Cricetulus griseus: one gene and its partners. The protein of the gene in region 2 purifies or fractionates together with the protein of the main gene of each other region. This does not show direct contact. Links are inferred from orthologs where the notes say so. Each region holds a gene or a part of one and is shown on either strand. Other genes may lie near its edges. The genes, in order: Aurkb, G3bp2, Trim25, Igf2bp3, Caprin1 and Stau1.

Region 1 (3,967 bases), on a different chromosome or scaffold from region 2:
GACCGGCGTAGGATCTACTTGATACTGGAATATGCCCCGAGGGGGGAACTCTACAAGGAACTACAGAAGAACAGAACTTTCGATGAGCAGCGGACAGCCACGGTCAGGATCCGGTGTGGGGCATGAGGCTGTGGCTATTGCTGGAAGTGGAGGCCTGTTTGACCTTCTGCTATGAACTCTCGTAGATCATGGAGGAGCTGTCGGATGCACTGATGTACTGCCACAAGAAGAAGGTGATTCACAGGGACATAAAACCTGAGAACCTGCTGTTAGGTCTCCAGGGCGAACTGAAGATTGCGGACTTTGGCTGGTCTGTGCATGCTCCCTCCCTGAGGTATGGTGGGGCTCGGGGGCTGTCCCTCGTGTGAGGCTGTGATATACAGCTCTTCTGCAAGTTGTTCCTTGAGATGGGGTTTGTCTCCATGCAATATAGATGTAGCAAAGTCTTTACAAAAATAGGTAACACAATAATTCATGCTCTAAATTTTCTACTCTTTCTATGAAATATAGTGGGCCCTCTCTTACCATATCATTGTGGAAACTCCCACATGATTGATTGATTGATTGATTGATTGATTGATTGATTGATTGAAACAGGGTCCTATGTAGCACAGAATGACTTCAAACTCACTATATAGCCAAAGATAACCTTAAATTTCTGATCACCCTCCAAACATAGCTGAGTTACAGGCAAGCATCACCATGTCAAGTTTACCCCTGCCGACCCTGTTCATTCTAAGGAGATACGGCCTCACCGAGTTCCCCGGGCTGTTTTTAAAGGCCCAGGTGCAAATGAGTATCTGGTATCACAGGCATACGCTGACATGCCTGGTTACCAAGGTCACATTTTATTTGATTTGGTTTGGTTTTAGTGTTGAGGATGGAACCCAGGGCATTGCCTATGTTAGGAAAATGCTCTTTCACTGAGCCACATCCCTCAGAACCGCTTCCCAGTTTTTTAACTGTTTGGTTTTTTTTGAGACAGCGTTTCTCTGAGTAGCCCTGGCTATACTGGAACTCACTTTGTAGACCAGGCTGGCGGCCTCAAACTCAAAGAGATCCACCCGCCTCTGCTTCTTCCTGAGTGCTGGGATTAAAGGTGTGCTTACTATTGCTTGGCCTCTTCTTTTTAATAATTTATGTGCATTGGTGTTTTGTCTGCATGCATGTCTGTGTGAGGGTGTCAGATCTTGGAGTTACAGATAATTGTAAGCTGCCATGTGGGTGCTGGGAATTGAACCTTGGTCCTGCAATCAGTGCTCTTAACCACCGACAAATCTCTCCAGACCTCCTCTTCACAGTTTTGTTTGTTTGTTTGTTTGGGCTTTTTTTTTTTTGGTTTTTTGAGACAGGGTTTCTCTGTGTAGCTTTGGAGCCTATCCTGGCACTCAAGCTGGAGACCACGCTGGCCTCGAACTCACAGAGATCCGCCTGCCTCTGCCTCCCAAGTGCTGGGATTAAAGGCATGCACCACCAACGCCCGGCTCTCTTTACAGTTTTTAGACAAGATTTTACCCTGTAGGCCTACCTGGCCTCAGACTGACAATTTACCTCAAATGTCCAATTAAGCCAGAGGTAGTGGCTTATTCCTTTCAGTCCAGCCCTAGTGAGGCAATGGAAGGTGGATCTCTCTGAGGTTAAGTCCAGTCTGGTCTACTTAGTGAGTTCCAGGCCAGCCAAGGCTGTATTATAGAGAGAACCTGTATCAATATTAACAAAACAAAAATCTTGCCAAGGATTGGGATTAGAGGTGTATATCACAGTATCTGGTGACCTGATCATTGTTTAACACTTCTTGGTATTGCACAGTAAAAATATAAACCGACTTATTTAAGTAGTGTATATTCGGTGGATATTAGAGATGTTTTCTGTTTCTTCTTTGAAATGAGCATTGCCCTCATCTCTGATTGTTTTTATTTATTTTTTACTTATTGAGATTAAGATAGCTGGGCGGTGGTGATGCACACCTTTAGTCCCAGCACTTGGGAGGCAGAGGCAGGCAGATCTCTGAGTTTGAGGCCAGCCTGATCTACAGAGTTAGTTCCAGGACAGTCTCCAGGACAGTCTCCAAAGCTATACACAAAGAAACTCTGTCTCAAAAAAACAAAAAATTAAGATAATCCATTAGTGTGGCCAGACCTTCCTGGGATCTCTGAGCTGCCTACTATCAAGTAAAGAGAAAAGAGAGGCTGATTTTTTCGAGGCCCTACCCACTTCTCATCCCATCAGGAGGAAGACCATGTGTGGCACCCTGGACTATCTGCCCCCAGAGATGATTGAGGGGCGCATGCATAACGAAATGGTAGACCTGTGGTGCATCGGGGTGCTCTGCTATGAACTGATGGTGGGGAACCCACCCTTTGAGAGCCCTAGCCACAGTGAGACATACCGTCGGATTGTCAAGGTAGGATACCTGCCTGGGCTCTGTGTGCTGTGGAAGCCAGGGTCTGGGGTGGGCAGGGTAGATTTATAGGGCTCTGCACAGTCTCCCTATTTCATGAGCAGTACTTATTCTCTGACAACTTCATACAAATGCACCTTGATCACCCACCCCGACTCCTTTCCCAACACATGCCCCACCCACCGTCATGTCCTTTTTCTTTTTATAGCCCCCTGAGACCAGCTAGTGCTGCCAGCAACCTACCTGTACCCACACTCCCAAAGGAAAATGACTTCCTTTCTTTCCCTCAGCAGCCATCCATTGTTAATAATGCCTCCTTTGGGGGTTGCAAAAATCTCTTGAGTTGTCAAGGAAAATGTAGTCAGGGTAACACAGGTGAAACCTTTCTCTTTTCTTCCTCTGCAGGTGGACCTGAAGTTCCCTCCTTCTGTACCTGAGGGGGCCCAGGACCTCATCTCCAAGCTGCTCAAGCATAAACCCTCAGATCGGCTGCCCCTGGCCCAGGTCGCAGCTCACCCTTGGGTGCGGGCCCACTCTAGGAGGGTACTGTCTCCCTCTGCCCTTTAGACTGCTTTCTTCATTTTTGTCTCTGTTGTTTGTATATTTGTGTATGTGTTGGGGGGAGGGAGGGTTGCTCACAACCATCCCCAAATCCCGTTCTAAGGAATCTGACCTGTCTTCTGACCTCCACAGGCAAAACCATGCACACATGTGGTGCACATATGTGCAGACAAAACATATATAAAACAACAACAAAAAAAACACAGTACTGGAGAGATGGCTGAGCAGGGCTGTTTTTCCAGAGAACCAGGAGTTCAGTTCACAGTATACCACATGGTGCTTACAACCATCCGTAGCACTAGGCATGGATGTGGCACACATATACACAGTCAGAATTTTAAGGAGCCATAGAGTCTGATTTCTTTCAATTTGCCAAATGTTTTAAAATACCGTAAGTCAAAAATGCATTAATCCGTGAAACATGTTTAGTCTAGCCTATCTTAAAATTCAGAAAAATTATGTAGCACAAAGTATATTTTATAATAAAGTCTTAAATATTTCATGTTTTTGAATACTGTTTTGAGAGTAAAAAGTAGTGGTTATACTTTGGTAACATTATGAAGCCAAAAACCCCAAGTTAGCTTGGCATGTTGGTCCATGCACTCAGGGGGCTGAGTCAGGAGAATCACCATAAGTCTGGGACATCTTGGACTACAAATCACGTTCCAGGACACACAGTGATGCAAGTAAAACCTTTGCCTGCTCATGGGACTCTCTTCCTCCTGTTGGGCTGCTGTGTCCAACTTAAATTTGAAAGTTTTGCATAAGGGGACAGAGGAAGCTAGGGAGGAGTGGGGTGAATAGAACAAAGCATTATGGGGCTGGACTCAGCACTTAAGAACTCAGATTTGGTTCCAAAGAACTCAGGTTAGGCAAATTCACAACCATGGGATCTGACCTTTTTGTGGCTGTACACATGCACATGAATTTAAAAAAGTGTAATGGTATACATGTTTGAAAATGCCACAATTAAGTCTATTTCTTTATTATATTCTAATAAATTGT
Region 2 (3,714 bases):
CGAATTTAGCATCTGCCTTGTTCCACACGGAAGCACTGACCCTTAACAACATTTATGGGAAGTAGTCAAAATCTTGTCCCCTGTTTAGGCCCAGAAGTCTAGTGGCCTCTTAACTTGATATCTGTCATTGATTTTACAGGTTTTATGGCAGGAATTCCTCCTATGTCCATGGTGGAGTGGATGCCAGTGGAAAGCCCCAGGAAGCAGTTTATGGCCAAAATGTAAGTCACAAATTAACTCTTTCAAGTGTCTTTGGATTAAGACAGGTTTTAAAAGTAGCCTTTCTGGGCCGGGCATTGGTGGCACACGCCTTTAATCCCAGCACTTGGGAGGCAGAGACAGGTGGATCTCTGAGTTCGAGGCCAGTCTGGTCTCTAGAGCGAGTGCCAGGATAGGCTCCAAAACTACACAGAAAAACCCTGTCTCGAAAAACCAAAACAAACAAACACAAGTAGCCTTTCTGGACTCACTGGGTTTCTCTAGTGTGTGATTCTTTGCTACACAGAGTCAGTTTTAGTAGAAATGTATTATAATGGGATGTATTTAAAAGGAGAACTTCTAATGTTGCTTTTTATACATGAAGTAGTTGAGAAAGTAATTTCTCGAGCTCCAGCAAAGTACAGAATAATCTTTATAGCTTGATGGAAGAGCAGACTTCAGAGATTAGGGGCTTCAGTATAGAGTAAAGATGGCAATTAGCAGGCAGTCTGATTGTAATTCATAGTTTCCTGGATTGGATTCAGATTATTGCCAAAAAGGCCAATAGTTCATTTTTATGGGTCATGAGGAAATAAACAATGTATGTACGTATAACAATGTGTAGTTAGTGTGGTGGCACAAAAATTTTTATTTTCTTCACCTCTTTTCTGTAAAGGATATACACCACAAAGTGTTATCTCTGAACTTCAGTGAGTGTCATACGAAAATTCGTCATGTGGATGCTCACGCAACCTTGAGCGATGGCGTGGTTGTGCAGGTCATGGGTTTGCTGTCTAACAGTGGACAGCCGGAGAGGAAGTTCATGCAAACATTTGTTCTGGCTCCAGAAGTAAGTTCTCATAATTCAGTTTGTATTTATGCGATATGTTTGCTAACAGTTTGTTGGAATGCTAAAGAGTTTCTTCCTATAGTTTTGGGTTTGCTTGTTGCTATTTTTTAATATTTAATAAACTATTTAATATTTTGAATTTTACTTATTTTTATGGGTGTTTTGTCTTTATGTCTGCACCACATGTATGCCTGGTGCCCTTGGAGGCCAAAGAGGGCATAACCCTGGAACTGATGGTTGTCCCATGGTTACTTATCATCGAATTCTGGTCCTCCAGAAGAGCAGAGCTAATGCCCTTAGCCTCTGAACCATCTCTCTAGCCCTTTTAATTTTGGTTCTTATATGTTTGGGTGTTTTACCTGCATGTATGGGTGTGAGTCTGGCCATGGAGGTGGGAAGGGTATCAGATCCTCTGCAACTGTGAAGGTACAGGAAGTCGTGAGCCACCATGCTGGGAATTGAACCTGGGGCTTCAAAAGCAGCCAGTGTTCTTAACCATTGAGCCATCTCTGAGTCAATTTGCCATTGTTTTTGAGAGATTTTTAAAGAGTTTCTTTTTGAGAAGAGTGTTTTGAATTTTAATAATTATTTTTAAGCATTAGCATATACATCATGCTGGGCTTTATTTTGATGTTTCATATGGGTATTATTACTATTACAATTTTTTAAAAAGAGAATCTGTAGCTCAGCTGGCCTGGAACGTGTGGCCCTCCTTTCTCACTCTTCCAAATGGTAGAATCGTCTGTGTTTGCCACCACGCTCATCCAATATTCATTTGGTGGTTTGTTTTGTTTTTCTTTTGTTAACATCTAAACATACTCCGCTCTAGATAATTATATTTAGTTCAGGTTACTTGTGTTGTACTAAAGTTGAGATTACATGTTGTTTTTCTATAGGGGTCTGTCCCAAACAAATTTTATGTTCACAATGATATGTTTCGTTATGAAGATGAAGTATTTGGTGATTCTGAACCAGAACTTGATGAAGGTGAGTTTCCAAGGTGACATGTCTGTATAGATTCCATACTATACTGTAGAGTTTGGTACATACTCTGAAATTGTTTTGGGGACACAGGCACTTTCTTATCAAAATTACCTATGTGGCATGGAGCTTACTCGTCTTCCCTTATTGTCTGTTGCCTGTCCAAGTTGTGGCAGTACTGATCTTCCACTGAAAAAGTACCAGTTTGTTTTCCTTCTTATCAATACTGCTCTTAAATAGAGGTGGCAACAGAAACAAAATGGTTTTTAGCTTCATTGCAAGCTTTTCCTTTCTTTACTAATTGATTTTGTTAAAAGACAGCATAGTAATTAAACTTGGTCCTGTTTGTTCTATTTAGTTTGTGGAGAACAGGGATTATCCCAGTGAATGACTTGCCTTTATCAGTCTTCTGACTTTCTAGCATACACTTAAACATACTGTAGTATGTGAGAGTATATGAGCCCTCTTTTAAAAAGACTTGGTGCGTTGTGTGTTGTCAGAATCAGAAGATGAAGTGGAAGAGGAGCAAGAAGAAAGGCAGCCATCTCCTGAACCTGTTCAAGAGAATGCTAACAGCGCTTACTATGACGCTCTTCCTGTGACGTAAGGCTAGCTAGCAGCTTCCGCCTGTACTTGCACTGAATCCTAGTTGTTTCTAGGATTATTGTTGGAACTTAATGCTTATTCTTTGGTGCTAGGAATTGAACCCCAGACCTTAATGCATGTTAAGTATGCACTTGGCCACCAAACTACACCCTCAGCCCCTGGAAATACATTTTTGTTAAAACTGCATATTTAAGCCAGTATTTGGTTATTTAGAACATAGATCAAGATAATGAAAATTATTCATTCAAAAATTTCCACATGGTTCGTATCAGAGCTGTGGTTGTCTACATACATACTGTTGAGGGACAATACGTTTATTTCTATAAACTTATTTTTATTTGACACATGTCATGTCATGTAGGGGACAAAGAAGTGGCTCACCCAGGAAGTTGCTTACCCTGCAGGCCTGGTGTCCTTAGTTTCATTCCTCTGACCATCATGCATTGTCCCTTCAAACACTAATTAGAAAATTAAGCACAGGATTTTATAATGGCACTAAAATAAGCATTAAAATGATGGGGGTGTGGCTGTAGTGATGGCTCAGCCATTAAGAGCACTGGCTGCTCTTACAGAGGACCTGAGTGTGATGCCCAGCACCCACATGGCAGTCTTTAACCCCAGATGTGGGAATCTGATGCCATCTTCTGGCTTCCAGGAGCATTGTATGTATATGACACACATATACATGTAAGCAAAACACCCTTCTTTAGGTGCAGAATAATAACCATTTTTAACAATTGATGGGGCTGGATGTGGTAATGTACACCTTTAATCCCAGCACTAAAAGGGAGGAGGGAAGTAGGTGGATCTCACTGAGTTTGAGGCCAGCCAAGGATTCATAGTGAAATCCTGTCTCAACCAACAAAACCAAAACCAGCAGAAAGATGGGTTTCAACTGGATGTGAATCTCAGGTAGAGCCATTTTACTAGTATGTGCACAACAGGCAGGACTTGAATCTCGTCACTGACCCTGCATGCACATGAACACAGCTGTTAGTTTGGATCTTTATCTCATTTGATCTCCTGATTGGTGACCTAGATTTTTCATTGTAGTAATGGCATAGAGGAGCCTTTAGAAG
Region 3 (3,714 bases), on a different chromosome or scaffold from region 2:
ACTGTCCTCTGGAAGAGCAGGCAGTGTTCTTAACCACTGAGCCTTCTCTATGGTACCATATTACCTTTATATTGAAAGAAAGGAGCTGGAATTTTAAGAATACCATTGCTGAGATGCAGCAACTGTGCCTTCATTGATGGCTTCAGTTGTGTTGGTGGAGATGCAAGTTTCAACCCCCCCTACTCCCCCCCCCCCCGCCCGCCCCGAAACACACGCAAAGCAACCACAACTCCTCTGAGAAGATAGTGAGACCTACAGGGTGAAGGTAGAATTATGAATATTGGTTGGTTGGAGGGCAGGCTAACCTCCTAGGATTAGGATCCATTTAAATGCAAATCAATAAGGTGGTTCATTTTGTTCAGTTTAACAACCTAAGTCCACACAAGAGCAACTCTTGACCCTTAGCATGGCTTTGCTCCAAATGAACATTCCTACTGTCCCACTACTCCACAGTTTGATGCTCTCATGCCTTTGATTGAAGCTGGATTTTTTTTTTTAAGCCAAAGGCTATTATAGAAACTGGCTGTCAAGGCAGAAGGTACTGAAGAACAAAGATGCTGGCAGATCCAGGATTGCACAGGCTGTAATATATTAAGGATTTATTGGCAGAAGGATATGTTAAGTAGTAGCAAAACAAGAGGATCCCCCCGATCCCTGTGTCACAAGGCAGGAGGGAAGGGGTTTTTTTTTTGTGCTAAGATAGGCAAAGGTGGCCCATGGCCAACTGGAATGTACCTAGATTTTCTAAAATAATAATAATAACAACTATTAACATGTCATGTAGGGTTTGGGATTTGTGTTAGGGTCATATAGCAGTTACCACCAAGATGGCAGAATTCAGCCCAAACTGGGTCCTTACTCTGGGTCACCTTTACCTGTTTGCTCTAGCCTGGGAAAAGGGAAGCAAGATGGAAGATACCAACAACAAGCAACTTCCTCTTAAGCAATCAATGTGGTGTTGCACATACTACTTCTAGCCTTGCCTCACGGGAGGCAATTTAGCCACTTAGCCACCCTGGCTAAGCCCATTTGCAGGGTAGTCTGGGAAATGTAGTCTGAGAAGCTGTATACCCACTTGACACTCCTGGGGTGTTCTCTTACTAAAGAGCAAAAGAGGAAATGAACACTGAAGGACACTGGTGTTCACAGAGGAGGTAGTGGGAAGGGCTGGATGAGAGGCTCAGTGAAATGGCTCAGTGGGTAAAGGGGCTTGCTGCACAAGCCTGACAACCTGAGTTTGATCCCCAAGACCAGAGGAAGAGGAGAACCAACTCCTGAAAGTTGCCCTCTGACCTCCTGGGGGGAGTGTGCACACAACAACAAAATAATAGTGATTAATAATAAATGTAACAGTTTTTTAAAAGTTGAATTCCACTCTTTTGGTGTACAGTATTTGTGTTTGTCATGTTTGATTCTAAACTATTGAGGTTAACCAAGAAGTTTGTTCAAAACTACAACCTTTGAAGCAACACTGTCTACCAGAAACATTCCAGACATCTCTGATTTTCTTGTTTTGTTTTTATTTATTTATTTTTTCTGTGACAGGATTTCTCTGTGGCTTTGGAGGCTGTCCTGGAACTAGCTCTATAGACCAGGTTGGCCTCAAACTCACAGAGATCCACCTGCCTCTGCCTCCCAAGTGCTGGGATTAAAGGGGATACCACTGCTGTCTGGTATCAAGTCTTTGACATCCAGTGTCTACTAAGAGTCATGATAGATCTTTTCTTGAATTTGGCACATTTCAAATGCGCAGCAGCCACGTGGAACACTCAAAAAGAGAGTTCTAGGGAATAATCCTCTTCCGGAAGTTTTTGAAATTGTTTCATGCCTTCTTTTAAAAATTTACTAGGGGCCAGGCAGTGGTGGTGCATGCCTTTAATTCCAGCACTCAGGAGGCAGAGGCAGGTGGCTGTCTGTGAGTTACAGGCCAGCCAGGGCTACCCAGAGAAAGCCTGTCTTGAAAAATAAAATGTTATGTTAACGTCTGCAGTGTATCCCTCCCCGTTCCTAATTTATCATATTTATTCCCTAATCATTTATACCCTAAACACAAGCTCATTCATTCCCGTGTGTTTACATATTTATGCCTTTTTGTTTGTGCATGCATTCCTTGGTAGCAAACACCGCCATTCCCTCAGTGTCTAAGCTTTGTGTGAAAAGAATCACATAGCTTATGTGTTTTCCCTTGTGAGCTGGATCCACATGTACCTCCAGTTTATCGTTTAATGTCTCATCCTAGGATGGTTCTCAGTCTTTGCATCAAGTCTCTCCTGTACTTAGCTTCCCCACCCCCAGATAGCTCAAGTGTCCCTCCTGCCTCAGTCTCCAGAGGAACTGGAATAATAAATCTGTGCCACTGTGACCAGCTCACTTTTTGCTGTTTCAAACAATGATGCTTGTGAACAGTTGTCTCCCCCTCATCTCCCACCCCAGTTTGGAGACAAGGGTCACACATAACCCAAGCTGGCCTCAAGTATGCTATGAAGCCAAGGATGACCTTGAACTCTTGGTCCTCCTATCTCAGCCTCCCAAGTGTTGGGATTACAGTTGTGAGTCACCATACCTGGCTGTGCTTGTTAACATTCTTTTTGTTGTTTTGTTTGTTTGTTGAGAGTGGGTTTCTCTTTGTAGCCCTGGCTGTCCTGGAACTCACTCTGTAGACCAGGCTGGCCTTGAACTCAGAGATCTGCCTGCCTCTGCCTCCAGAGGCATGGCTGCCTAGAATGGTGCCATGAAGTGTCATACAGTTCCTGGTGCTCCCCTCTCTCCGACACACAGGAATGCGGCCTTAGCATTTTCACCCATCTGACAGGAGCCCCTTCATTTTTGCCTTGTAGGACTCTATGAACAGGAAAAAGGAACAACTGAGGCAAGAATATATGGAAATGAAGGCTATCCTTGATTCAGCGGAGACCAACTTGATGCGTAAGCTGAAGGAGGAGGAGAAGCGGATCCACGGAAAGCTGGACAGCATCTACCAGGTTCTTGCCAAGAAGAAGAGTGAGATGCAGAACCTGAAGGCGGAGGTTGAGCTCACCCTGTCCAAAGGGGACGAGTTTGAGTTTCTGGAGGTGAGTCGTGACGAGGGTGCTGCTGTGTGTGTGAATATCTCAGCGTTGATAGTAGTTTGGACCTCACAGAGTTGGGGCTGGAAGTGTCCCGGAGACACGCTGTATTTCTATGCTCTGCGATAGCTTACCTAAATTTGGGGCTTTGGAGAACATCTGATTATTGTCCCACAGTTCCCTTAGCTCAGTATCTGGGTGTGGCTCCCTGTTGTTGACAAGGCATCAATGGTCTAGCTTCAGGCTGGGCTGTTTTCCAAGCATACCTGACTACAGGCAGAGTTTAAGTTCCTTGGGGCTATAGATCAAGTGTACACTTTCTTACTGGCTGGCTGATGAGGCCTTCTTTCAACTTGGCATCATATGCTTCCTCAAGCCAGCAGGAACATTTCTCCCTCTATCTAGGAAGGCCCGCTTTCCTCTATTGAGGTCTTTTACCCAGTTAAGTATCCTGTCTGCCCCTCCCCCGGCAGGATAATCGCCCTCTTGATTAATTCTTTTATCTGGTTTGATGTCTTCCTTACTCCTGCGGTGTACCTCCTCTGTTCCTTGTAAGTTTGTTGTGCAGTAACAGCCTATCCCACCCGCCCTGTTGTGCTCAAGGAGATAGTTACGGAGGGTGTGTATAAGAGGAGAATCGTGGTACCAA
Region 4 (3,714 bases), on a different chromosome or scaffold from region 2:
TCACAGGGTTTCTGGAGCGGATGCGGATGGCTCAGCAGGTAAAGGTCCATGCCTTCTTACAGTGCAGCCTGACAGCCTGTGTTTGGTTCTTGGAACCTACATAAAGGTGGAGAGAGAGAGAGAGAGCTGACTCCAAAGTCCCCTGACCTCCACATGTGCCCCAAGCATCCCCACCAGTAAGAAATTTCATTTTAAAAATCTGGATGTGTGCAATGCCATATAAATGTATTAATGTTACAGTAAAGTTGAAAAGGTGGGCGAAGGCTCAGGCCCTCCCCAAGCAGATACAAAGTGCAGTCAGTGTGTGGATAGAACAGCTTCCTTGCCTCCTCCCTCCTTCTCTTCCCTTTGTTCATCTTCTTGAGATCAAAACCCTACCCAGATGAGGGAATTGCAGTTATTTTCTGGTTGTGGCTCATCCTGAAATCTTACCAGTGTAAGACCAGTGTCCTGTAGTTGGTAGGGCTGTTTGCTCACCGATTCTTCAACCCCTTTAGAGCTGTGCGCTCCTTCCCTTGGTATATTTCCAAGCCATTACTAACTTTTTTTTTCCTTAAGTTTACCATGGTTGTTGCAAATATTTTTAATAGCATGTATTAATTACACAAAAGCAATAGACTTTATTATTACATTTTTGTGAATGTTTGTATTAGAACTCTAGAGAAACAGAACTGATAGAATGAGTATATATTCTACGGCTGTTTGTTAGACTGTCTCACACCATGAGTCAAGCAGTTCAACAGTGATTCTTGATTGAACTGAATCAAGAATTTAACTTGGGGCTGGAGAGATAGCTCATTGGTTAAGAGCACTGACTGCTCTTTCAGAGGACATGGGTTCAATTCCCAGCACCCACATGGCAGTTCACAACTGTCTGCAGCTACAGTTCCAGGGGAATCTGGCACCCGCACACAGAGCTACACTGTAGGCAAAACACCAATTCACCTAAAATAAAATTGTTTTAAAAAAAGAATTTAACTTGATTTTTGTTTCTGTCTCTCACTGGTAGATGGAAATTATTTGCCTTGGAAGCCGTTGGCCTTCCCTAAGTGCAGACTTCATAGAGGAGTGTGGTGGTGGTGGTGGTGGTGGTGGTGGTGGTGGTAGGGTTTGTCCGGAACAGCAGCTTTCGTCGCCGATAGCTCTGGGAGGAAGAGATGGGTGGCCGCTGTGGACAAGGTTACCATGCCACCGCTCCCGCTCCACCCACCACCCACTGTCTCTTGTGAATTTTCAGAGCCTTAGACAAACTGAATGGATTCCAGTTAGAGAACTTCACCTTGAAGGTCGCCTACATCCCCGATGAAACGGCTGCCCAGCAAAATCCCTCCCTGCAGCTCCGAGGACGCCGGGGTCCAGGACAGCGGGGCTCGTCCAGGCAGGCATCTCCAGGGTCAGTGTCCAAGCAGAAGCCCTGCGACCTGCCTCTGCGCCTGCTGGTCCCCACGCAGTTTGTTGGAGCCATTATAGGGAAGGAAGGTGCCACCATTCGGAACATCACCAAGCAGACCCAGTCCAAGTGAGTATGTGGGAATGGTGGCCACGCTGCTGTTGTCTTCCTCCCTCTGTGTTTAGTGTCAGGGTGTGATGTGTGGGAACTTGGTGTCCTTCTGAAGAGAGTTGGGGGCTCTCCTTTACAGTGCTGGGGAATGCGGCAGGGGAAGCCTTGTGACGTGATCACGCCTGGCTGGCAGTATAAAACCTCACATGAATGGAAAACAAACAGTACTTGATGTCACCGTGATGGGAAAGGCAGTGGACAGGTCATTCTCCCGCCCCCAGCCAGCCTACAGAGTCCCCGTTTTGTCTTGGCATCAGTGTGAAGATGGCATTTTTATCATGTGTTCACTTCAGTGGAGACTAATAGTCCACCCCCGGGTGGTGTGGTGGTACACACCTGTCTCAGGAGGGAGGGGCAGGAGTTCCTGGGCATTCTTAGCTCTGTAGTGAGTTTGAAGATAGCTCATCCTGAAAGCAATTACCAGGCAGGACTGCCACCAGCATTCCATCCCTGCATCCCACAATAGAAGGAGAAAACAGGCTCCTGAAAGTTGTCTTATGACTTATCAAAAATGTTTTAAATTAAATTATATTTATTAATGTGTGCGTCTGTGTGTGCACTCGCCATCTTTCCAGTCCCTCTGACTTCTTTACTCAGGCACGCATATATCCATACTCACATCACTCACATAAGAATTAATACTAAGTAAAATTTTAAAAAAATAAGTAAAATTAAAAAAAAAATTCATCCTCTGGTTTAAGTTTGTCCTGAAGTTAGAATGGCTCTCCCTTCCTTTCTGCCCTCCCCCCCTCCCTTCTTTTATTTTCATTTGATGTCATTACTAATAGAATGGCTTTTTCTTGAGGATGTTTAATAATGCTGTTTGGCAGGCTTTAAGGGATTGGAAAATCCTGATCAAACATCAGAGCTCACTTTGCTGGAGTCAGGCGGGAACCATTGTCATTTATCACCACAGCCCTGGTGTGTAGGGTCACTGCCTGATGCACAGGAAGCCCGTGCATTGCCTAAGGGCACAATGATGACTTATGAAGTTGCTGGGAGAAGAGGTTGTATGCAAAACAGTGTCTTTCTGCAGAGTGACCCAGCTGTAGAAATGACTGGATGGTTTTACTTTTTACATTTAGTAAGAATGAAGATTTCATGAGATTAGAGAAACTGAGTTTTGTTTGTTTGTTTTTTGTTTTTTCTGGAAATGGTGCCATAGAGCTGTGTATCCTTTGTGGCTAGATGTGTTCCGTGGCCTCTGAGGCATCCATGCTCTTTGATGCACCTTGCCTGCAGTTAACTGGGAGACTTCGTTTCATTCAGAACCTAAAAGAATTGTATGGTAGTGACGGTTGTAAGTTCATCCAGCCCTGCTGGGACACCCTACCCTGCTCACACCTGCTTTGGTTGTGAGCCTAGCCTTTAACGGCTGAGCCATCTCTCCAGCCCCTCACACCTGCTTTGAAGCAAGAGACACTGAGTGCTGGGTGCCTGTGTGCAACATTAATGATTCCAAATACATAATTAGTGGGTGGGGAGAACAATTGAACCATTATCTATGTTGATGTTTCTTAAATTTTACTTGTGACCCCTTTTTACCTGAGAAATTTTACACGTGACAGAAAATGCTCTGTAAGGTTCAAGTCAAGCATAATCTAAAAAATCTTTTAAAATAATTCTTGGTATTCATGTAATTTTGCAGTTGATTAAAGTTGAAAACTGATTTGGTAGTAATGAGATAGGTGCCTTCTTTGTTGCCATATAAAGAATTAAATCTTGGCTAAGTAGCTGACACCTGGGGACACGGAGCATCTTCAGGTTGCGCAGAGTGGATCAATGCTTTGGTTCTTTGCATGGTGTTGCACGCACTGCTGCTTCACGTAAATATGTAGAACAAAACAGTACGAATATGTTTAGGCCCTGCTGTACGTTGTTGGAAATTCTGTCTGAATCCTAAGCCAAAATTATTTAATGATTAACTTTTTAAAAATGAAACTCAAATCAGCAACTCAAACACCAATTTCTAAAATCAAATATTCCTGCACAGTTCCTTCCATTCAGAGATGCCAGTGTGATGTGTGTTGAGGAATGATGGTGGGAAAATGTTAGGTCTGTTGTTCTCTATCTTGTTTCACTAAGAACAGAAAGCTTTGGGCGTACAGTTAAAACACTGCTCTTCACATAATCTTGAATGTGAGATGGCAAGG
Region 5 (3,714 bases), on a different chromosome or scaffold from region 2:
AAAGTAGGCAACAGAGTCAGACAACTTCTGCTTTAGTACCAAAAGAAGACCAAGCTACACAATTGTAACATATATGCAAAAAGCCTAGGTTAGTCCCCTGCAGGCTCCAAGGCTCCATGGTTGGTGGTTCGGTTTATGTGGATCCCTATGAACCTAGGTTAGTTGGTTATGTGGATTTTTTGTTGTTTTTTCCTTCGAGACAGGGTTTTCTGTGTAGCTCTGGCTGTCCTGGAACTCACTCTGCAAACTGGGAAAGATCAGCCTGCCTCTGCCTCCCAAGTGCTGGGATTAAAGGTGTGTGCCATCACTGCCTGGCAGTTCTGTGGATTTTCTTTTGGTGCCCTTGACCCTATATCCTACAGTCCTTCCTACTATAGACCTTCCTCCCCCTCTTCTACATGATTCCCTGAACTACTAGTGTTTGGCTGTAGGTCTCTTGCTGGGTGAAACCTCTGATAACAGTGTATAGCAGAATATCATTTTACATGTCTAGTTGTTTGCCTGCATGTTTGTGCACCATGTGCTTTCCCAGTTGCTGGAGGAGGCCAGAGAAGGCTTTGGATTCTTGGAATCACAGATAGTTGTGTCTCTGTATGGGTGTTGGCAATTGACTCAGGTCCCCTGGAAGAATAGCCAGTGCTCTTAACTCCTGAGCCGTGTCTGGAGAACCTTAAGATAATTCTTAATGATAAAACATGGTTTGATAGCTGGGCAATGGTGACGCACACCTTAACATAGAGAGTCAGATCTCTGTCAGTTCAAGGCCAGTTTGGTCTGCAGAGCGAGTTGTGGGACAACTAGGACTGTTAAACAGAGAAACTCTGTTTCGGTTTTTCGACAGGGTTTCTCTGTGTAGCTTTGTAGACCAGGCTGGCCTTGAACTCAAAGAGATCCTTCTGCCTCTGCCTCCCGAGTGCTGGGATTAAAGTAGTGTACCACTACCACCGGGTGAGACCCTGTCTTGAAAACCAAAGGGTGTTTGATTTGATGGTAGGTGTGATGGTGTATACTTGTAATCCAGTCCTTGAGAAACTGAGACAGAAGAGTCTGAGTTCAAGGACAGCATAGGCTGTGTAGTGAGATTTGTCTCAAGACAACAGCAAAAATATGATTTGAAAATTCATTATTTTTACTGTTACTCAAATGCATACTAATGAACCTTCTAGATTGTAATTTGCATTTGGCATTTGCTTAATTTTTATGTTGAATATAATCAAGCATAATCTGTATAGAAAGATTATATCACTGTAATATATAGTGCAGCTAAGTAGCTTGAAAGGAACCATAACCCTTTATTCTTCTCTGCATAGGCATTTTGTGGCTTTTTTCATGCTAGAGAAAAAACACTATCTATAATTTCTTGGAGTGGGTGGGAGGATATATGAGTTAAATTTCCAGGAATTGGTGGTGTTCCAGGTACATTATTTCTAGTTCGAGAGCCATTTTGGTTGTTAGTTTCCTCAACTTCCAAAGGTACTTAGGATTTTTTTTTCCTCTCCTTTTTCCTTGAGTGAATTATATACACTCAAATAATAATCAGATAATATACATCAATATTTAATGTTTGACTTATTTTGTGTAACTCCTCAATGTGGAGGTGTGTCCGAAGGGGTGGGTGGGTGTAAAGTCATATATTCACCCTTCCAGTATTCACCCTTCCAATAAGGCTGTATACCAGAGTGAATACCACTTAGCTCTATCTGTCATTTTAGATGGACACCAAAGGATGTAAGTTGAAAATCTAATGTTTCAATTACAGTTGATGACATTTTTTTGTATGGCTACTTAACTATGAGTATGGTTTTGTGTGTTTCACTAAGTGCCAAGGGAAATAAGTGTATTATTAAGGAGCTTTATAATGAAAAAATTGACATATATATATATATATATATGCTATTTCATCATTAATTTTCTCACTTATGGAGTCTACTCTTGCTAAAAGGTCAGTTACTTTCAGAAGGTGTTGGAAATATAGAGCCCTTTCCAATTTTATGTGTGGAAGAATAGTATTGGAAACTCTGCTTTCCAAGGTCTAGAATTACTATTGGGGAAATGCCCTCTTTAGCTTAATCTTACAGGTAGGAGGGAAGAAATAGGGTCTTTTTAGTGTTACAGGTTTTTATTAATGGATTTATTTGAATAATTGAACTTTGAGAATAGAGTGTAGAATATTTTATATAATTCAGAAAGTATGTGGGAGAAAGAACAGTAATGAACTCTGTTTATGTATATTTTCCTTTAACAGTGGTTGGCACTTACCATGGTTCCCAGGACCAGACCCATCAAGTGCCTGGAAACCACCAGCAACCCCCTCAGCAGAACACTGGGTTTCCACGCAGCAGTCAGCCTTATTACAACAGTCGTGGTGTGTCCCGAGGAGGGTCTCGTGGTGCCAGAGGCTTGATGAATGGATACAGGGGCCCTGCCAATGGATTTAGAGGTAAACAAATAAATGAAGCAACTTCTAATTACTTTGTGCAGTTTCAAGTCTTTAATGATTTGTAAAGTAAGTAGAGACATGTTTCATGATTTTTGGGAAAGAGTTGCCTCTGTGTTAGTCCCTTAATGCATAATTTAAAACATTTGAAGTGTGTTATATGTGTGTGGCCTCAAACCCAGATCTCCCTGACTCTGTCTCTTGAGTGCTGGGGTTAAAGGCATGTGCCAGCATGCCTGGCTTATTTTGTCCAGTTTTTTAAATGACAAAAATTGGGAGATAAACACTGAGTTGTCACACAGGTGTTTGTTTATAGGTTTGTCTCCATTACCAGTTTGTTTAGGTGTGTGTGTTCATTCCTAGGTGGACAAAACGTGGTACTTAGATATTGATAAACAGATGGAATCAACACAGGGAATTCAAAATTATTTTAAGTAGTGTGGCTTATTTTTTTACACTTCCCTTTAAGAAAGCAGAATCCTTGTAAGGAAAAGTAAATTGTTTCCTTGTCTTAAATTCTAGGAGGATATGATGGTTACCGCCCTTCATTCTCAAACACTCCAAACAGTGGCTATACACAGTCTCAGTTCAGTGCTCCCCGGGACTATTCTGGCTACCAGCGGGTATGTAAACATGGTGGATCTTGGTAACTAAGTGATTTGGGCTTAGTTTGTGGTGTCCAATATACTTTGTTACAAAAGTGATAGCTGTGGGGCTTTTTTGTTTGTTGTTTTCTTTTTTTACAAACATTACCTATAACCACTTGATGTAGATTGCTAAAAGGGTTTTCAAAGCAACTATATGTAAATATTTGAGTTTAAAGGAAGCATAGTAAGAACAGTAACTTAGCTGTAATACATTGATGTCTAGAAGGAGTTAGATATTTGGCTAGTGTTGAGCTATGAGACTAGGTATAGGTATACAAAATCAGTTTCCTTTTCAATACTAACTAGCTTGTCTTTTAGGATGGATATCAGCAGAATTTCAAGCGAGGCTCTGGGCAGAGTGGACCACGGGGAGCCCCACGAGGTAATATTTTGTGGTGGTGATCCTAGCTCCTATGTGGAGCTTCTGTTCTGGCCTTGGAAGAGCTGTTCATAGTCTGCATGTAGGTTATATGTTAGGAGTGCATTTATCCTTTCCCGACTTGTTGCTAAAGATTAAATGAAATGCTCTGTTTCTAAAATTTCATCTTGAGTCCAAATTTTAATTTTTGAATGACTTTCCCTGTTACTGTCTTGAAAATCAGAACATTTCTCTGCCTCAGAAAAGTGTTT
Region 6 (4,332 bases), on a different chromosome or scaffold from region 2:
CTGAGATTGGGTTTCTCTGTGTAAGTGCTCTGGCCGTTCTGAAACTCTCTCTGCAGACCAGCTGGTCTTGAACTCACAGAGATCCACCTGCCTCTGCCTCCACTGGCATTAAAGGTGTGCGCCACTGCCACTGCCACCACTTGGCTGTAGTCTCTTTTTCTTCCTTCCTTTCTTTTCTTTCTTTTTTCTCTTTTCCCTTCCTTCCTTCCTTTCTTTTTTTTCTTTCGTTTTTTGAGGCAGGGTTTCTCTGTGGCTTTGGAGGCTATTCTGCAACTAGCTCTCGTAGACCAAGCTGGTCTCCAACTCACGGAGACCCACCTGCCTCTGCCTCCCGAGTGTTGGTATTAAAGGCTTGCGCCACCAATGCCTGGCCTCTTCCTTCCCTTCCCTTTCCTTCCTTCCTTCCTTCCTTCCTTCCTTCCTTCCTTCTTTCCTTCCTTCCTTCCTTTCTTTTTGAGACATAGTTTCTCTGTGTTACAGCTCTGGCTGCCCTTGAACTCACTTTGTAGACAAGGCTGGCCTCGAACTCATAGAGATCCTGTCCAGCCTCCCAAGTGCTGGAGTTTGAGGTGTTAGTCACGAAGTCCAGCTTTTTCTATTGCTTTCTAAAGAGGGCTTTCTTCCATGATATCTCCTTCTAACATTTAGAGGTAGTCCAGTGTAACAATTTTCCAGCCAATTTGGGAATGGCTTATCTGAACTCTGAAGTGCTTTTCAATCTTGCTTTCCTCATATAGCACATACTTCAAGTGATCTAAACACACATACACATACACAATTTAAAAAATTAAAACAAGAAAATCTAAGAAGTCAGCTTAAAAAACTATGTGATGAGTGGGTGATGGAGCTCACTGGTAGAAGTGGTTTATAGTTCAATTCCCAGGACTGCATCAAACAAGCCCACACCAGCCTCTTGTCCACAGAAGCACACTCTGCTTAGAGGGGTGTGAGAGCAGCCAGAAAACACTTGTGCTTGTTTGTTTCAGGCTCATACTTCGCACTAGAATGTAAACGTCATGAGGGCAAGGACATGTGCATCCCAGCCGCTTTCTCAGCTTCTGACCTAGCACAGGGCAGCAGGTTAACAAATGCTGACATAGAGAAGGAGTGACTGCGCAGAAGCAAGCATAAACCCGAGAAAGAAAGGAAGACAGGCCTGCTTTCTCGGCCCAGCTTGAGCTCCCGCGAAACTACAACTCCCAGCATGCCCCGACACAACAGAACCTGTCCGGCCCCTGACGCCCTAGCGTGTCTAGAGGGCGCAGGCAGGCTGCGGCGCCCGCCGGGACTTGTGGTCCCAGCCGCGGTGGGGGGGGCCGGCATGGAGGCGGGCGGGGGCCGGGGCGGGCGCGGCCCCTCCCCCGTCACTTCCTGCCGGGCTGCGGGCGCCGGAGCCGCTCTTCAGCGTTTGCGCTGGCGGCCGTCGCGCCTGTGTCGTCTGCCCCTTTTTCTGTCCCCCCGGCCCGGCGGCGCCCGCCTCCTCCGCGGCCACACCGCCTCTTCCCTCCCCGGTCCCTTCGCCTTCGCCCTCCTCCCTTGCTCCTTCCCGTCCTCGCCGCCGCCCAGGACCGCCGGCCCGTGGACGAGCTCCGGGGAAGCAGGCAGGTGAGGCGGCCGGGCCCGGGCCTCGGTGGGGCCCTCGTAGGCACGGCGGCAGCGGGAGGTGGGCGGCGGGTGGGCTAGGCCTCGCGGGCGCGCGAGCTGCGGCCCAGGCCCGTCCCCGCCCGGGGCCCTTCCCGGAGGAGGCGGGCCCTCCGCGCCGCTCGTGGGCTCGGTGCCCGAGTGAGACGCGGGGCGCGGGCAGGGGCCGGGCCGGTCGGGAGCCCCCCGGGTCTCGGCGCTGTGCACAGTGCTGCAGCCACTGCCGAGCCGCGGGACGGGGTGCCAATTCCCGGCTCTGCCCCTTCGCGAGCCACTTCACACTCTTTGTGTCTCTGTTGTGAGGGGACGGGAGGGGGGTAGAAGGCTAATCCTGTCCCAGCCCTGTCCCTGCCTCTTCCGACTGTGAAGGTGCAGTGAATTGGGGGCGTGTAAAGCGCTTATCAGCGTGCCAGACCCATGTCGTGTCCCAATAAACGGTTTGCATAATTTATTAGCGTGATATGAAGGTATAATTTAGGGTGCAGACTGGACAGAAGTTGACCTACCTTCCCATTTCGCTTTCCTCCGAGGCAGAAGAACCCGCGTGCCCACTCCCAGCGCCTGGGCATTGTGCTTGCTTAGCATCGGAAAGGGGCGCGCGCTTAATGGGGACACTTGCAGGCACATCTGGATGTAAAGACGTAGCCATCCTTTCTGTAGAAGCAGCTGCGGGGAACCCACCGCTCCCCCAGGCTCAGCAACCTGTCCCATGTTTCCCTGCCACCATCCATCCAGAACCTTGTTGTCATTCTTTTTTCTGGGAAAGTTGCTGGCACAGGCTCCCCTCCTGTGTGTCAGGCTCTGGAGGTGCAGTGTGCAGATGTGAAACCCTGCTTTCCGGGTCCGCATCTGCAGATCTTCACTTTCTTTGGTTGAATTTGTCTTTCACTCTAAGGTCCCAGTTAGCAGTTTCCCCAAACCCTGAGCACAACTCCCTTTCTGTGGCAGTATTGCTGGTGTAGAAACTTTATTTTGTTTTGCCCTTCGTGATGTGGGGGCCTTCTTTAGGGTCACTCTTTTCATCTGCTTGTGGCTGTAATTCTTGAGATGGTGCTAGAAGAGATTTAAACTAGGATTTTGGCCTTTTAGGCATCTGTGCTTATCACATGTAAATTACGTCGCTACTTGTTGAAGTAAAAACTAAAAAATACAGTTGGTGAGTGTGGAAGGGGCAGTCTGAACCATTCTGGTGAGCTTTTAGAAGAGCTTCTTTTTTAGTCTGACTCAGCCTTTCTCTCTCAAGATTAAGTTCTTTTTTTGAGTGTTACACCAGCGGCAGCTGTTGGGGAAGTGGAAAGACAACTTTTGGGATTCAAAGGTTTTGGGATTCAAAGGTTATCAGGCTCCTTGCTGCAACTGCTTCACTTGCTGAGCCCATCTCAAAGTGTCCGTATTTGTTTTAAGTATGTGCTTAATGACATAGACATCCCCTTCCTTAAAGACATGCAAACTCATTCGCAAGAATAATATGGTGTGTTTGCTGTGCCCAACGACTCTTCTATGCCTTAGGATTACTCTGTGTGTGGGGGGGGGAGGGGGAGACAGTTCATATATGCATGCCCTTGTGTGCCTGTGGAGGCCAGAGGTCAACCTCTGTCTTGCTCTTCCTTAATGGCTCTCTGCCTTATTTTGTGAGACAGTCTCTAAGCATGACCTACCCATTTCTTCAGCCCACAATCACCAGATTGTTTTGGGCAGTGAATTTCCTTAGTAAGTGGCGAATGTTTATATCACACCCATCTCAATAATGCAAGGCATTACTGTTTTTGATATCTTCCAAAAATTTGTAACTGTCAGGAAATATTGTGTATTGTGTATTGTTGAATGTAATGGCTTTTTAACAGCTCTCAAACAAACGATTCTGTAAGTATCACCAAGCATATTCTGTGTCACATCGAAAATTATTTCAGGGAAGTGATATTTTAATGCTGTGGTAGAGAACTTGAAGTTATTTTTTTAGCCTTTTTTTTTTTTTTTTTTTTTTCAGTATCTCTAGTTTAGGCTGACCTTGAACTCCTATCAGTCCTCCTGTCTCACCCACTGAGGTGCAGAGATTACAGGTGTGAGCTGTCATGCTTGGCTTCTGAAGTTATTTTTAAGTATGAAAGTTAAACACTATAGAGGGCACTGTGTATTGGTCGCCCGGCTTTGGCAATTATTAACTCCTAGCTAAGGTCAGTCTTGTTTCTACTTGAACTCCCTCCTTTAAGCTAGCTTATTTTTTTGGTTTTTTGTTTGTTTGTTTTTTTGACACAGGGTTTCTCTGTAGCTTTGGAGCCTGTCCTGGAACTCTATCACTAGACCAGGCTGGCCTCACAGAGATCTTCCTGCCTCTGCTGGGATCAAAGGCATATGCCACCACCACCTGGCTCTAATCTAGCTTGTTTTGAAACAACCCCCAAACTTATCATAATCTTAGTCATTTTGACTTTAACTAGATCACCTCAGGCTGACTGACAGTTTTTGTTTTTTGTTTTTTGTTTGGGGGGGAGTCTGGCTTCTTTGTTGAGATATGATTAATACAAAGCAGGAAAACAGCTGCAGAGTTAACGGATTCCCCTCCTCAAGGTAGAGCCCAGGTTTCAGTCTTTCTCCTTATGAACCGAGTCAGTTATTCCTGAGCTATTAATGACTAGTTGAAAAATGGAGCAGTGATGAAAGTCTTTGACCCTGACACTCAGGAGACTGAGA

What was found.
Region 1: the proteins of G3bp2 (region 2) and Aurkb purify together in Homo sapiens (affinity purification with mass spectrometry; 3 studies listed by BioGRID and IntAct, with this or other methods). This does not show direct contact. The link is inferred for Cricetulus griseus from reciprocal best matches to the Homo sapiens genes G3BP2 and AURKB.
Region 3: the proteins of G3bp2 (region 2) and Trim25 purify together in Homo sapiens (affinity purification with mass spectrometry; 4 studies listed by BioGRID and IntAct, counting the BioPlex papers as one, with this or other methods). This does not show direct contact. The link is inferred for Cricetulus griseus from reciprocal best matches to the Homo sapiens genes G3BP2 and TRIM25.
Region 4: the proteins of G3bp2 (region 2) and Igf2bp3 purify together in Homo sapiens (affinity purification with mass spectrometry; 3 studies listed by BioGRID and IntAct, with this or other methods). This does not show direct contact. The link is inferred for Cricetulus griseus from reciprocal best matches to the Homo sapiens genes G3BP2 and IGF2BP3.
Region 5: the proteins of G3bp2 (region 2) and Caprin1 purify together in Homo sapiens (affinity purification with mass spectrometry; 5 studies listed by BioGRID and IntAct, with this or other methods). This does not show direct contact. The link is inferred for Cricetulus griseus from reciprocal best matches to the Homo sapiens genes G3BP2 and CAPRIN1.
Region 6: the proteins of G3bp2 (region 2) and Stau1 purify together in Homo sapiens (affinity purification with mass spectrometry; 3 studies listed by BioGRID and IntAct, with this or other methods). This does not show direct contact. The link is inferred for Cricetulus griseus from reciprocal best matches to the Homo sapiens genes G3BP2 and STAU1.

Annotation. Positions count from the first base shown.
Region 1 is NC_048600.1:82,924,974-82,928,940, forward strand, and holds the end of Aurkb (aurora kinase B), read left to right. Parts: coding exon 1-102; coding exon of another isoform or gene 103-115; intron 116-185; coding exon 186-334; intron 335-2,229; coding exon 2,230-2,404; intron 2,405-2,806; coding exon 2,807-2,968; 3' UTR 2,969-3,464; downstream 3,465-3,967. UniProt on the Homo sapiens protein: Serine/threonine-protein kinase component of the chromosomal passenger complex (CPC), a complex that acts as a key regulator of mitosis.
Region 2 is NW_023276807.1:156,813,194-156,816,907, reverse strand, and holds part of G3bp2 (ras GTPase-activating protein-binding protein 2), read left to right. Parts: intron 1-139; coding exon 140-221; intron 222-874; coding exon 875-1,048; intron 1,049-1,944; coding exon 1,945-2,035; intron 2,036-2,529; coding exon 2,530-2,632; intron 2,633-3,688; coding exon 3,689-3,714.
Region 3 is NC_048600.1:102,145,958-102,149,671, forward strand, and holds part of Trim25 (E3 ubiquitin/ISG15 ligase TRIM25), read left to right. Parts: intron 1-2,837; coding exon 2,838-3,071; intron 3,072-3,714.
Region 4 is NC_048601.1:92,227,004-92,230,717, forward strand, and holds part of Igf2bp3 (insulin-like growth factor 2 mRNA-binding protein 3), read left to right. Parts: intron 1-1,237; coding exon 1,238-1,519; intron 1,520-3,714. UniProt on the Homo sapiens protein: RNA-binding factor that may recruit target transcripts to cytoplasmic protein-RNA complexes (mRNPs). This transcript 'caging' into mRNPs allows mRNA transport and transient storage.
Region 5 is NC_048599.1:73,878,246-73,881,959, forward strand, and holds part of Caprin1 (caprin-1), read left to right. Parts: intron 1-2,245; coding exon 2,246-2,440; intron 2,441-2,959; coding exon 2,960-3,060; intron 3,061-3,402; coding exon 3,403-3,466; intron 3,467-3,714. UniProt on the Homo sapiens protein: mRNA-binding protein that acts as a regulator of mRNAs transport, translation and/or stability, and which is involved in neurogenesis, synaptic plasticity in neurons and cell proliferation and migration in multiple cell types.
Region 6 is NC_048599.1:12,445,883-12,450,214, forward strand, and holds the start of Stau1 (double-stranded RNA-binding protein Staufen homolog 1), read left to right. Parts: upstream 1-1,366; 5' UTR 1,367-1,605; intron 1,606-4,332. UniProt on the Homo sapiens protein: Binds double-stranded RNA (regardless of the sequence) and tubulin.